2 linked regions of the Styela clava genome follow. The protein of the gene in region 1 interacts with the protein of each later gene in a pairwise test. Links are inferred from orthologs where the notes say so. Each region holds a gene or a part of one and is shown in the gene's direction. Other genes may lie near its edges.

The links.
Region 2: the proteins of histone-lysine N-methyltransferase EZH2-like (region 1) and histone deacetylase complex subunit SAP18-like interact in binary tests that used the Drosophila melanogaster proteins (3 or more experiments, as listed by UniProt). The link is inferred for Styela clava from reciprocal best matches to the Drosophila melanogaster genes E(z) and Bin1.

What each region holds. Positions count from the first base shown.
Region 1 is NC_135251.1:26,461,664-26,468,754, forward strand, and holds the start of histone-lysine N-methyltransferase EZH2-like, read left to right. Parts: upstream 1-3,979; coding exon 3,980-6,247; 3' UTR 6,248-7,091. Other genes in the region: dnaJ homolog subfamily C member 8-like, read left to right, coding at 2,658-3,395. UniProt on the Drosophila melanogaster protein: Polycomb group (PcG) protein. Catalytic subunit of the Esc/E(z) complex, which methylates 'Lys-9' and 'Lys-27' of histone H3, leading to transcriptional repression of the affected target gene.
Region 2 is NC_135259.1:21,874,578-21,882,642, reverse strand, and holds the start of histone deacetylase complex subunit SAP18-like, read left to right. Parts: upstream 1-5,014; 5' UTR 5,015-5,164; coding exon 5,165-5,373; intron 5,374-7,548; coding exon 7,549-7,668; intron 7,669-8,065. Other genes in the region: uncharacterized protein LOC120332010, read right to left, coding at 1-4,137. UniProt on the Drosophila melanogaster protein: Involved in the tethering of the SIN3 complex to core histone proteins. Interacts with bicoid (bcd) to repress transcription of bicoid target genes in the anterior tip of the embryo; a process known as retraction.

The sequences.
Region 1 (7,091 bases):
AAGAATACCAGGTTGCAGAACATGTTTGTATTAATTACTGTGCCTCATTAAGTGCAATACTCCCCATCGTGGCATACAGCATGGGCCAGGAGCCACGGTGACCTAACCGGTATTTTATAATGACCCTCACGAATAATGATAACCAATTATTATTGAATTATTATATTTTTGTTTCTGTTGCTTTAAATGTTTTATAGCAGCTCAAACGGGGGCCGGTGGCACCCCAAGGGGGCCACGAAGCAGGTCAAGGAGGACCACGACACAAGGCTAAGAATTCACGAAGCGACTTTGTTTGCATACTTTCCTTTTAAAATAAAATACTCCGTTCTTTGTGATCGCAGGGTGTATTCTCTTTCTTGCGCGTTAATTGTTTGATCATAATGGAACTTAGAATCTACCAATCAAAATAGTTCGCCGGTAGGCCGTCAACCTGTAGACGGGCAGTTTCACTTGACTGCGAGATAACATTCGCTATCGTATTATAGACTCAAAAACCCATTTGTAAATTCCAAATGCCCAAAATATGAAAATGCAACGACAGTCACGTTGGCTTTTACTTTACTAAAGAAAATCGAGATGACAGAGAATGTGCTCAATGCTTGCATGTAATTACCAATAAATCATTACCTCCATCTAAACTCCAAAACCATCGTGACAAAAATCATCCCCAGGTGAAAGACGTTGATATCGGTTTCTTGGCTGTCAAGCGAGTTGGATCGGTAAGATATTGGCCAAGTCCGGTTTTATCAGCGGAAAAGCCCGCTATGAAGTAGCATATCAGATTCTTACCCACTACTTAGCAAGAAAGCTCCTTCATTGCTAGTTCAATTTGCCGCAACTCACTTATTAGTGCGAATCTGGTTTTTCTGATCTTGTTACCATCAAAACAAAATCTAAAAACTGCCGTTAATGGTAACAGTGACATTCGTCCGGCTATATTAAAGACGATGTCTAGCATTAGAAGCCTCGTCAGACAGTTCCAAGCGCAAGATTCCCATTGATTGTATACTAAAATGCTTTCACTTTCTTGTCTGTGGTTTGCTTTTGCATTCAATAAAAGATCGTAAAAAACATAATACAATCTAACACGTTTGGTTTTTTGAAATGGCGAACAGGGGTCCCACAAGTGCCAAAATGCGCCGGAAGGGGGCCACGAGCTATGAAAGGTTGAGAATCACTGTTTTATAGTGTTGACATTACTTATAAAACAAGAGAGCTATGCTCAAATATATGGACACGTAGCGCCACCCAATGGCAATAATTTTGATGACGTCATAGCGAAAAAAAAAGTAATAGCCTTCTGGAGAAAAATTTTATCTTCAACCACTGAAAATTTCAAAGCAATTGGTCCAGTATTCGAAGAGAAAAGCGACTTTTTAAAAACGTGTCAAAGAACAACAACAAGGATAACAAGAACAAGAACAACAACAACATAATATTGAAACGATCGTTATGTCCACTACGTGTCCAATAAAATCTCTCTCTCGGTCTCTTGTGAACGGCACTTGGGAAAATTTCCAAACCCGGTCTGCCGCGGAGTGGCGGTATAGTGCTTGCCGCGCCGCTTATGCTGTTACTTCAGCGTGCAGGAATAGGATTCACGAATCCTTTAGGAAGCATGCTCTGATGCCAGTGCAGGGCAAAGCGTTCCGGTAGGGCTATATGCAACTCACAGGGAACCCACGACTGCGACGGTGCATTTCCTCGTTTCTCAAACGTCAGAGATTCAAACTCATGAGTATTATTTTTTATTAATATAAATTGGCGACTAAGAATTTTTTGATCCCATCTCAGTTCTCACGTTTTACTGTTTTATGGTTTTGCAACACTTTCTGACTGACTGCATGTTGAAAATTTGTTAATTAAGACAGTAAGAGGTCATGTAATGTGGAAATGTTTCGAGACAATCTGTCTCTACTTTTGAACAAGACAATAGAGCAGACAAGCAGACTTGTAGGCCTATGTTAAATATTAATACCGGTACGGTAACCTTTGAGATGACCAGGCCCAACAGGCCTATGAAAATTGATAATTTAGGTTAGGATCTAGTCGACATACCAGTAGCCTCCCCCCTAACCCCTAAAAGGCAATTTTGGTCATGTGGCGGCCGACGCATGTTGGATTGATTTAAATTATTTTTGAGACAATCATGGAGACAATCGATCTGCCGTTGTGTCACCCCCTCGTTAACTGGCTCGTTTCACAAATAGATTGTTTTATTGTACCAAATATCGGGACATCATGGAATATGAGAACTGTGCTCTACTGGAACTGCAGAATTGGCTTGTGTCAATATCCAAATAGTTTGGTACCGGTACCGGTACCTATTTCTGTAATACAGCCATCTATCAAGTAATTTATTTCAATTTTAAATATTCTACACATACAGACATAATTATGTGGGGAATTTTGTGTCGAAGTCGCCTCACCTATATCTGTATATGCTATATTTCTCTAAAAGAATTCAACATGATGCATGTACTGCAGTGTGACAGTACTATCAACTATATTTTGGTGTAATTCCTAACTTCATCTGGACCATGCTTTTTGTTTGAGATTTATTTGATTCTGTGATTGGTTAAGTCAGCAAGTTAAAACCTAATGATTCAATTACATTTTCAGCTAATGTTGTAAATAGGTGAATTTCAATCTTAATCATGGCTTCAACCAGTTCTGATCCAAAGGCTGAAGATGCATTCAATACATATATGTCCGAAGTGAAAAGAATTGAAGCCGCGGATTCAGTACTAACACCAAAACAACAGATTGATCGTTTAAATCGACCTGGATCAACTTATTTTAATCTTAATCCATATGATGTTCTACAAGTTACGCCAGAAACTCCTCTACCAGATGTTAAGAAGAAATTCAGACGCTTATCTATACTTGTTCATCCAGATAAAAATTTAGAACAAAAAGAGCTCGCACAAAAGTCATTTGATGCTGTCAAAAAAGCATGGGAATTACTAAATGATGATAAAGAAAGAGAAAAATGTTTAGGTGTAGTTTCAGATGCAAAAGTACGACTTGAAACGAAATTGAAAGAAAAAAGGAAGAAATTGAAAAAGGAAGGAAAACCTGCTGAAATACCAGAAGATGATCCGCATGTTTATGAATCAGAACTACACAAAGAAACTTGTAAACTTTTTGCTGACATGGCGATTGTTCGTAAAGAGATGGAAACTCGAGAAATGAATGAAAGAAAAAGGAAAGCGCAACAAGAAGCTGAGGAAAAAGAAAAAGCGAAGCAGCAGAAAGAATGGGATAAAAACTTTGAGGAAAGTCGTCAAGGTAGAGTTTCCAGTTGGCAAAATTTTAAGAAGGATAAAAAGAAGAAGAAAAAAGACACGAGGGCACCTTTCAAACCTCCGAAAGTCAGAATGGAAGAAAGATGATTTTCCTCTCATTATAGTTATATTCATCAAACTTATATCTCTAAAACTTCAATTGTCTTTTGTTTCACATCATATCGAAATAATCTTGAAAATTAGAATTGATTGTGAAACCTGTGTACTAGGCTATAGTATTATGCATTGACATAGAATCATCATTTTGTTTCTCCCAATTGGGGTCAAACTTTACAGTAGTGAATGAGTCCCCACTAATTTTAAATTATGTTTCATTTAGAATATTATTATTGAAACAGTTTTTATATGGGTATGGTTTTCAATAATCTGTCAATGTTATTAAGATGGAATTTATGGATTGTTCTATGTATTTGTAATAAGAATTTGGTGAATTGAAAAGCATATATTTTTCAGCAAAAAAAAATCAAATTGGAAAATTTAAATAGTACTGCATTGTGACACAAATTGTTTTTCACCAAGATTATATTAGTAGTAATTTTCCGTTTATTTTGTTATTTTGTCTCACTTGACAGGTATGCGGCTATATTAGCTTATTTTTTAAAGTTTATTGAACTATGCTTCTTTGTTATTTTCAGCTTGTGTCACTGCTTAGTTAATTAGTTAAGAACAAAATGGATTGGAAAAAAATTGTACGAAGTGAATACATCACGCTTAGATCGGCGAAGAGATATCAACGTAGTGACAAAATTAAACAAGCTTTCATAAATAACAGAGTAAAATTGAACGAAAGAATTTCAAAATTGGAACAAACAAATGAAAAGTACAAAGTACAACAACCAGATTCAGAACCGGTTTTTACAAATAGACCATTCCTTCGATGCTGTACAGTGAAAAGTAGTGTTCATGCTTTCCGTGATCAGTCTGTTCCTTTATGTACACTGCAAGCTGTGCCAAGTCTTCCTGTTTATTATACATGGGTCCCAGTTCAACAGGATTTCATGGTTGAAGATGAAACAATTCTACATAACATTCCATATATGGGGGACGAAGCTTTGGATAAAGATGGAAGTTTTTTAGAAGAGTTGATTATGAATTATGATGGTAAAGTGCATGGGGACAGAGAAGGTGGTTTTCTAAGTGATGAATTATTTGTTGATCTTGTTGATGCACTGAATAAATATAATATCAGTCGTAAACGTCGTCCTTTGAGAAGTCGTTACAGAACTGATAGTGCTGCAAATGAAGCATCACAAGACAACACTACAAGCGAATCAAGCAATGAAGATGCAGATCCAGCGAAAGAGAAGGAAACTGCAGATGCGGAGCAAAATAAAAATTCAGACTCGTCATCTGCTTCTGGTACAAACACATTTCCTGCAGATGAAATATTTGATGCTATTGCTGATTATTTTCCTGATAAAGGTTCAGGTGAAGATTTAAAAGATAAATATAAGGAGCTGACTGAATTGATGGATCCCGATGCACAACCTCCTGAATGCACTCCCAATATCGATGGTGCAAATGCTAAATCAGTACAAAGGGAGCAAGCATTGCATTCTTTTCATGAATTATTTTGCAGACGCTGTTACAAATATGATTGTTTTCAACACAGTCATCTTTATAGACCACCTATTAAAACGAGTAAACGAAAAACTCAAGATGTTAGAACACCTACAGAACCTTGTGGTGCTGATTGTTTCCAACACCTTGAAGGTGCACAAGATTATCGTGAAATATCAGAGAAACCTCACAGACATTTGCAGAGAGGATTGTCAAAGAAGAAATCTCAGCTTAAAGGCGAAGGAAGAAGTGGGAGCAGCAGTGGAAGTCGACCTAGTACCCCTGCCCCAAGTGAGAGTGAGATGGATACAGATGCGACAGATACTGAAAAACTACCTACAACACAATCAATGACATCATTTCTTGAACTCGTTCCTGAAAATTTGACTAAAACTATATGGGATGGAGCAGAGTCAACTCTGTATCGGGTATTAAGAACAAATTACCCAAACAATTTTTGTTCGATTTCGAAACTTATTAAAACTAAATCTTGCCAAGAAGTTTATGCCTTTGCATTACTTGAAGCTACACGCTCGCAACATGACAGCGGTTCACAACCTCATCCACATGAACATGATTTGAGAGATTCAGCTTCTCCCAGAAAGAAAAAAAGGAAGCACAGACTTTGGTCTCTCCATGCTAGAAGAATACAACTGAAACGAGATTCGTCCAGCAATCATGTTTACAATTACCAGCCTTGTAATCATCCAGGACAGCCTTGCGACAGCAATTGTCAATGCATTATGGTTGGAAATTTTTGCGAAAAGTATTGCCAATGTCCGTCTGATTGTCATAATCGCTTTCCAGGATGTCGTTGTAAAGCTCAATGTAACACCAAGCAATGCCCATGTTATCTTGCAGTGAGAGAGTGTGATCCAGACCTCTGCTCTCTTTGTGGTGCTGACCAGCTCGGCACAAATGCAAGTAAATGTTCTTGTAAGAATGTTTCAATACAAAGAGGTCTCCATAAGCATCTACTTTTGGCTCCATCTGATGTTGCCGGATGGGGAATTTATATAAAAGAAGATGTGCCCAACAAAAATGAATTCATTTCTGAATATTGCGGAGAAATTATATCTCAGGATGAGGCAGATCGTCGTGGAAAAGTTTACGATAAATACATGTGTAGCTTTCTGTTTAATCTCAATAATGATTTTGTTGTGGATGCCACTCGTAAAGGAAACAAAATTAGATTTGCCAATCATTCCGTTCATCCTAATTGCTATGCTAAAGTGATGATGGTAAATGGTGATCATCGTATTGGAATTTTCTCAAATTGCCCGATACAAGCAGGAGAGGAATTGTTCTTCGACTACAGCTACAGTCAATCTGATGCAGTAAAATATGTTGGAATAGAAAGAGAGATGGAAGTTTCCTAAAACTATTTGAGAATCATTATAATAGGCTACTACTGTAAATAAGTATAACAGTTAGGAGTTTTGTAGACTATTCTGATTGCTCACACTGCGATTCACTTATTGAATCAGGCAATTGAAAGCACTAGTATGGAATGTTTTCTTTACACATATTTATTTTGTTTGACGTGGTCCCTATTTTGCCAATGCATTATTGCGTTGGCTTTTCGTTTTATAAATTGAGGATGCAGTAGACATCCCCAGGGGCACAGTCAGGATTTTGCAGCGTAGAGTGGGGGGGGGGGGGGTGGGGCGGGGTCGGAGTCAGAAATACCCATGTAACGCATGAGGAAACAATTGATGCGATTATGCTACTCATTAAAATTGTGGTTAACGTATCTTGCGGTTGCATCGTTTCACATAGAAATAACATTGTATTTGAACTCTAAAATACCATGGCAATCAGTGGATATAAAAATGTGATATGAATTCTACAATTAGATTTTACTTTGGATTCATATTTTTGCGACCACGCAAATTTGTTATTGCTGATAATAAAATCACAAAATCTGTGATAAAATTGCAGTACAGTTTATGTTAGTACAATAAAAAATTGATTGAACATCAGTATCAGCATAATCCAAAAAAAATTGAGTGTGGCCCTGACGATAATTTATTAACTGATGGCATGCATAATTGACTGTTTTATCTTCAGTGACTATGGTATAGTTCCAACTTATTATAATGTGTTCCATGGCAACTCAGGCCCCGAAAACCCCCTGGCTGCACCACTGGACTCTGCTGTCTCTTTTGCATCATTTGCTGCTGAAACTTATTCATAATTTCTTTATTTAGCTACTGCATTTTT
Region 2 (8,065 bases), on another chromosome or scaffold:
TTCGCGAACGCGATTGGCTACAAATGTTTTAAATCTTCGAGTTTTATTTTTCAAATATCTCAATACACAAGTCGAGTCGGACCACATATGTACGTCGCCTAGTGGAAGGGATAGTTCTTTTCGGAGAAAATTTAACAATCGCACGGCCAAGAGAGCACCTTGCAATTCTAAACGAGGCACGGTCATACCTTTCATAGGTGCGACTCTTGCTTTAGCCGCGATAAGACTACACTGAAAATTCTCCCGGGAATGCTTCGATATTATGTATGCTACCGCGCCATATGCCACTTCTGATGCATCACAGAATATATGAATTTCATACGAGGAACTTTCACATTTAACACCTTTAAATTGACGTGGAATCGAAAAACTCTTTAAACATTTCAGCGAATTTATCCAATTTTCCCAACACTTCAATCTCTTATTATCAAATACTTCGTCCCAAGCTAAGTTGTCACGCCAACATTCCCGCAGTAATAATTTGGCATACAAAATGATTGGTGCTACAAATCCTAATGGATCGAATATTGAACTGGTTACACTAAGGGCCTTTCTTTTCGTGGTAAATTCAGTAAATTTCTGGTGGTCGAATATAAAGCAATCCTTCTCGATGTCCCAATGCAAGCCCAGAGCTTTTCTAACAGGTAATCTGTCCAGATCTAAGTCAACATTAGTGACGACACGTCCACTGGATATTTCACGTAAAACCGATTTAGAATTCGAAACCCACTTGGTCAAGTTGAATCCTTTATCGTGTAACATCTTAATCATATCTTTAGCTGTCGATACCGCGGAATCAACATTCCATTTCGAAGTAAGTAAATCATCGACATAAAAGTCTCTATCGGTAGTTAATATTACGTCTCTAGGAAACTTGTTTCTACTATCGTACGCAGCTCTCTTCAAACAAAAGTTTGCGACATAAGGTGAATCCACAGCTCCAAAAATACGAACTAAGAATTTATACACATCTGGCCGTTTGGTTGAAAAAAGGTCTTCCGACCAGAGAAAACGTGCAGAATCCGTATCATCTTCCGGCAATCGAATCATATGAAACATGGCTTCTATATCGGCGCTTATAGCGATTGGTCTTTCCCGAAAACGTAAAAGCACCCCGACTAGATTATTGATCAAATCGCGCCCGGACATCAATCGACTGTTCAGACTGACGCCGCAGCAAGTAGATGCCGCGTCAAAAACAATTCTTAGTTTATTTGGCTTGTTGGGATTTTCAACGCCATGATGAGGCAGAAACCAAGTTCGAGGACCGCGAAACGCCTTTTCATCTGAAGTTAGCTTACGCACCCAACCCCTTTCAATATTCTTTGCCATTTCTTTACAATATAAGTTTCGCAAACGTTCGTTTCCTTGGAGTCGTTTTCTGAGATTTTCGAACCTGTTAAGCGCTACGTGTTCGTTTTGCGGCATTTTGCAATTTTCATTTCTCCACATAAACCCAACCTCGTAATGACCGTCGATAAATCTAATTTTTCTTTCCATCAAATTATCAGTTTGTCTATCTTCAATCGACTCGCTACGGGTCAAATTGTACGCCGTGCCTACAGCTTCAGTGGACCAAAATCGCTCAACTTGTTCTTGCAGCATGTTATACTGGTCACGCAAATCACAACACAGCATATTTGAAACAGTTTCATCTTCATTAGTCGCGCCTGAAGACCCGATCAAAGTCCAACCGAGAGGAGTTTTAATACCCACTGGTTCATGTTGCTGGCCGACTCTACGTTCAAGCTGGAAATGCGCCAAGGGATTATCGGCTCCGATTAAAATCATGGCTTTGTTCGCTTCAATGTCGGTTAACGGAATATCCTGCAGGTGAGTCATATTGTGATCGTTCTTAAGGATTCTAGCTGGATGTGGTATGCGTGACTCGACCACAAACACGTTGCTTAACATCAGAATTTGACCACTCTCGTCGTGAGCAGATCGCACCGACAATTTCACCACCTCCGTATTTTGCGAAACGCCCTTATTGCATAAGGTGTTAATGGTTAGACACCTAGGACTTCCTTTCAAACCAAGTTTTTGTTTTAATTTGGGATGTATTATTGAGATTTGACTGGCAGAATCTAGAACAGCGATAGCATATTCAGAGGATCCCAATGGGCCTTTTACTACGACTGGCAAAAGCTGAAACTGAACACCATTAACGCCTGAAACATGAGAATTGGCAACGCCGCTCATTTGAGGAGGGAGATCAGGCTGATTGTTATCACTCAATCTATTAGGAACGACTCTCAAACCATGGATGGCTGAATGATGCTTACCGGGACAAACACGACACATATTGCGGAACCGGCACGAAATAGCTAAATGTCCAGGTTCGAGACAGTTAAAGCACAGGCGTGAATTTAGTAGAAATCTTCTTTTCGTGTCATTGGCACTAAACCTGAAGCTATCGCAGTTACTTAAAGAATGAAAACCATTGCAATAGAAACATTGCATTCGCGGTTGTTCGAGCGGCTGATTTGAATGACCCGATAAAGGGTATACCACATTCTTCTTAGGAAATGCCTGTCTGCGATCGTCACGATCTATTTTAGTACTGAAAAGATTTGGTGAAAAAGGATTTCCTAATTCCTCGCATCGTTCCCACAACCACTGCTCGAAGTCCAGTAAACTCGGCATTTCGTCGGCACGAATCATATCAGTCACAAACTTATTCCAACTCGAGGTCAGTTCTGCCGGAATTCGCATTGCTGTCTTTCTAACATTTTCAATACTATACAAATCTGCAAGCAATCGCATTTTCTTCAAATTTATCACAATGTCGCGAACTTCAGAATGAAAATCGGATATTTTTCGGATACTGAATTCTGTTACTCGTCTACCATCTACAACCTTCTCGAGAAAGGCCCGAGCAATCGTCACCCGTTGGCCGAATATATGTTTCAATTCACTCAACGCGACAATATAATTACTTCCCACCGTGCCTAAGCCATCGACATGTCGTTTAGCCACCCCCGTCAAAGACGCGACTAAGCGAACCATACGCGAACCGTCGTCGTCAAGAGAACTGTGTACATTATCAAAAAATAACTCAATAAAGTTTGGCCATTCTAGGGGCGTTCCGCTAAAACTAGGAATCGTAATCGGCGATAAATGGTGCTGGGACAATATTCTAGAATTCAACTGTAATGATAACATAGTTTGTTCCTCTACTGACATATTAAAAGAATTAACAGAAAATTTACCAGACTGGTTAGGTTCCAAGTGGTCAATCCACGCGTCGACTGCTTCTTGTGGTATGAGCATTCTGTTTGCAGGAGACGGGCGTTTGTAAGTTCGTGCTGTCGGGAAGTGCAATTCTTTGGTCTTTTCTGAATTTGTTGCCACTTGACTCTTCGTCGGAACAAAAAAGTTCACTGCACTTCGTCTGCGTGTTGACTCTAACGGATATTCAATATTGACGCCACGGAAGTTATCTTTAGGCATCTTTTTGGTAGCCAATTCAGTCTTTTCTTGTTCAATTTCACGCATAAGTTCGTCAGCTTGGCGACGTGTTAGATCTGCCATTCGTTCTTTTTCGTTTATATCAAGGCGACGCTCTAGTGCTGATATTTTATTGCGAATGGTATCTTCTTCTGTGAGAAAGTCTCGTTTAGCCATACGTACAAGAGAATCGGCTCTTTCTACCTCTCGTTCTTGCTCAAGTTGCAATCGCTTCAGTGATTCAACACTGCATTTGCTTGTATTGGATTCGACAGACCCGTGATCAGAAACGATCTCCTCGTCAAGGTAAGAATTAATTCTGCTTTCAATTTGATCGATTTTCGATAACATCATTTGCCTTCCAGTTTCATATTTCTTCAAAACATTTGGATTACGGGTAGTCGGAATGAGTTTATCCATCACTTGGTCATAAGCAATTCGTTTAATATGAAGTTTAATTTTAAGATCAGTAGCGATAGAATTTTGAGCATTTTCAGTAATCGATTTTGAAATTCTGTCGCACAAACCATTTAGTTCATTTTGTAGTCGGACTCTTTCGTGGCATAATACATTGCGTCCAATAGTTTCAGAGTTACCGTCGTCTGTTTCCGCGAGAGGAACTGCAGGCGAAGAAGAAGCTTCTCGTCTATTCAAATCTTGTGTAATTGATTCATCTGCTTCGTTCATCGTCGTCGCAAGGAGATTTGTTCAACTTTGTCACTTTTGGGACCCTCAAATGATAAGTCGATTTGCCAGACTCGTTTTATTGAAAGTATTCAAAACGGTTGACTAAAATACAAATGAAATAATTAGCACCAAATAAATCAAAGACAAATGATACAGAATATAAAACTAATACTTACACAAAACAACTCCATATAACAGCATAGTCCCAAAACGACAGATATACAACCAAGGTAAAACAGTAACTATAAATGCAATACCATACGAGCTGTAGACATGCAAATATCATAATGTTATATCGAACGATTCGAAATACAGTATAAAAGAAGACTATTGAATGAATTCAAACTTCAACGTTATAAAGGCGATGTAATCTTAAACTGCCATAACAAGAAATGAAATCCTAAACTGCTACCACCAGAAATGCAATCTTAAACATCTTGCTGAGCTTAGGGGACGATAATAAAATAAATACGTAACACGATAACACGTGAAAGAGAAAAATGCGACACGTCGAATACGAGAAAACAACACAGTAATGATGACGACGACGAGATAGCGATAATCATCACGATGACGATGTACAACTGAAGGAATCCTAACTAAACTAAACTTTAGGACCACACGGACTGCCGACATGTTGTACTTCATATTTTATTACATAGTTCATAGCTTGGCGGTAAAAATCCACCCTTCGGTTTCAGTCTTGCTCCACTAACAGCTGAGTTATTTGATTCGGTACAACAACACGAAGAAAATTCCCCATAAGACTCCATTGTATCGCGTTTTTCAAATATGGCACAAGATGGCGTCCATGGAGCTGTTTAACATTAGGCAAGTTGGTTGCTTGGCCTGGGCCGTCCTAAAACGCGGAAATACGATTTTGATTGACAGCCAACGGATTTGCTCATTCGCGGTACCTCTAGTGCGCGTGCTCTTCTGTGTGTTACGTGACGATAGAGTTGCTAGGTTTTATCTCTGCTTTCGTCTGTTATTTTGATAATAATTTAGTAATACATAAAACATAGCTATGCCTCAAGCTGGTTCACTGGAAGACCGACTCAGGAGTGTAGCACAGGACGCGCCAGCGGAAGAAAAGCCGGCGCCAAAGCCAGCTATTGATAGAGAGAAAACCTGTCCACTCTTGCTGAGGGTTTTTACTTGCAATGGAAGACACCATCCTCTGAGTGATTATGCGCGAGGGAATGTGCCAAATAATGAATTACAGATTTACACATGGTAAGTGTTGTGTTTGTACAATCTTGTTGATTTTTAAATCGTGGACTTCTAATCAATGACATTAGTTTTCTGAAATACATAAAGCAAACTAAATTGGGATGATTTAATCATATTCCGAACAAATTCTCCATGTTTAGTGTTCAGTTGAAGCTTAATCAGAAATATAATAATGCGTTTTTTCCATCTAAGTTTTTGATTTTATTGTCAGATGATATCTGTCCTTAAATTACTGAATTATCAAACTCCAATTGCTGAATTGTTCACTGTCACTTTGTTGTGAGAGAGAGTGTATAAAATAGGCGTGTGTAAAGTGTCTGGTCTCGTATCTCGAGTACTCCTAATGGGCTTAGTATAACAATTTTTGCACATGTCATTCCTAACCCCCACCTGACTACGCCATCTCAAAATCGCAATTAGCCAAAGAGCTTGCCAACGTATAACTGAAATTGCATCTGCACCGACGATAAAGAACTCGACTCTCATATCGGGATTATTGCGACGAGAAAATGAGAGAAATAGCTTGCTCGATTTTGCACAGTCGCACATTACTGTGTTATGCTACGCCCACTAGAAGTAAGAAACTACACTGAACCCTTCACAATCAACGATGCATGATAACCGTGTTTCGTATACATGATTTCACTGGTACCTGTTTTGCATCGCACATACGTCTAAGATAACGCCATTCTTGTGAGTTTGTCAATATTACTCATGGGCCCGAGTCTGTTTTACTTTTGTGTTATTGCACATAATACATTCACACAATTCATCACCACAATTGCTTGGCGGTATGGCGCATCGTGTTGAATGATAGGAATCCTGTGAGAATAGTTATGGGCGAAAAAAACGCCAGACTCCTCGCCGACTGACTCCTGGTCAGTTACGGCTCTGATTCAGCGTATTGCTCATCCAATAATTTTACGCAAAAACACTCCCAAAATTGATGACAATGTATAGAAATAATGTTCGGGTCGTCCAATTTTGCTCTGACCCAACTTATTTTTCATTCAATAATTTTACACCGATGTATGTTTATTTGCCTCAAAAATGTAACAGTACCGGTATCTGCATAATAGTTAAACGGTATAAAAGAGACTGGATACATTTTCAAGACCTTACCGGCCTAAGACACAGATGTGCGACATGCACGCTAACAAGTATAACTGCAGTTTAGGACTGCTGCGTTATAGTAGGACAACGAACATGAAAATTACAAATAAAACTCTTGTGCAATACACAGGACGAAGAGGTACGGCACCACGATGATATGTACAATAGGCAGTTTATGGCACGTTCATGTCCAAGGTTCTGATGATGGAGGGTATAAATCGAAATCGCATTTTTGTGTGTTTTACGGTAGATTGTACGAAACAAGTAAAAATTTATTCGAGACATGAACTAGCCAAAAACCAACGTTGGGTGGGACCACGACACAAAAGGGTTAGGTTCTAAAAAGGTAAATAATATAGGACATATGTAGAAATTCGTTGTTTACACTCGAGTTGGTAATTCTAAATTGTATGCGACAAAAGTAATGAGAACAATAGAGTCTGGCATAAAATGCAGGTCAACTTCATAGGCGCTATTGTGTGGAATTTATTGTCACCACGTCTCAGCATGATAAATTTAATTTGTATAAGATGATCTTTTCATTAGCAAGGATCCAATGAAGTAACTGTACAAAGCTAATAAACCATAAAAATATGCAGGAACTAGAGACAATGGAATAGTGGGTTGCCCGAGACTTGTTTCCTGAGCAATGGAAGTTGGTTGCATTCATGATGACATAGTCAAACGGAGATATTTTCATCTGCCAGTCTTTTCTCAACTTTTTCCCACCAATCATCAAAGAGCCCTTTGTATCTGAAAAATAATGCCTGGAGATTAGAATGTCCTGCACGAAAGCTAATATAATTCCAATAATTGTGCTTTAAGTTTTGATCTAAATGTACTTAACAGTACCAGTATCCGGGAATTTCTGATTGCACGCTCTATTTCTCGTTCAAAAAGGCCATGAAATCCAGACTGGCCTGTAGTTTTATCCAGGAATAATCTGAGTGAGGGCTCGGAACTTCGCTCAGACATGAGACTCCCATACTCCTGTGTGAGTGCTCGTAACTTTGGTCAGCGAAATTAAATATATAAAATTAACTAGTCTCATCCCTTTTTACACAGGATGGATGCAACATTGAAAGAATTAACAAGTCTGGTGAAGGAAGTGAATCCTGACGCTCGAAGGAAAGGAACAAAGTTTGAGTTTTCTACAGTTTATATGGAAAGAAATGGACGCCATAGGTTAGTTGAAAAGTATTCACCGTAAAGCTATCAAATAGCTTCTGATATTTCAGTGGCGCCCATACCTTGCTCAGATATTGTCTCATGCACTCTTGAATGGTCTTTCATAACCTTTCTCTCCTTTACTACCGAGTACTCAGAGTTATCTTTACTTCTGAGTGAGTGCCCGTAACTTTGCTTAGAGATGAGTCTTCTTTACTTCTGAGTGAGTGAGTGTGTGTTCAGAGTAATATTATTAAAAACAGTTTAAAAAAATACCCACCGTCGTCATTGAGGTTTTTTTTTAGTTAATTTAACGCAACTCCATCACACTGAAATGCCATTTTTGATTCCATTTTAATATTCTGTATCATGTAACATTGGTTATTCTCAGTATGGTGAAAAATCATTAATTAAA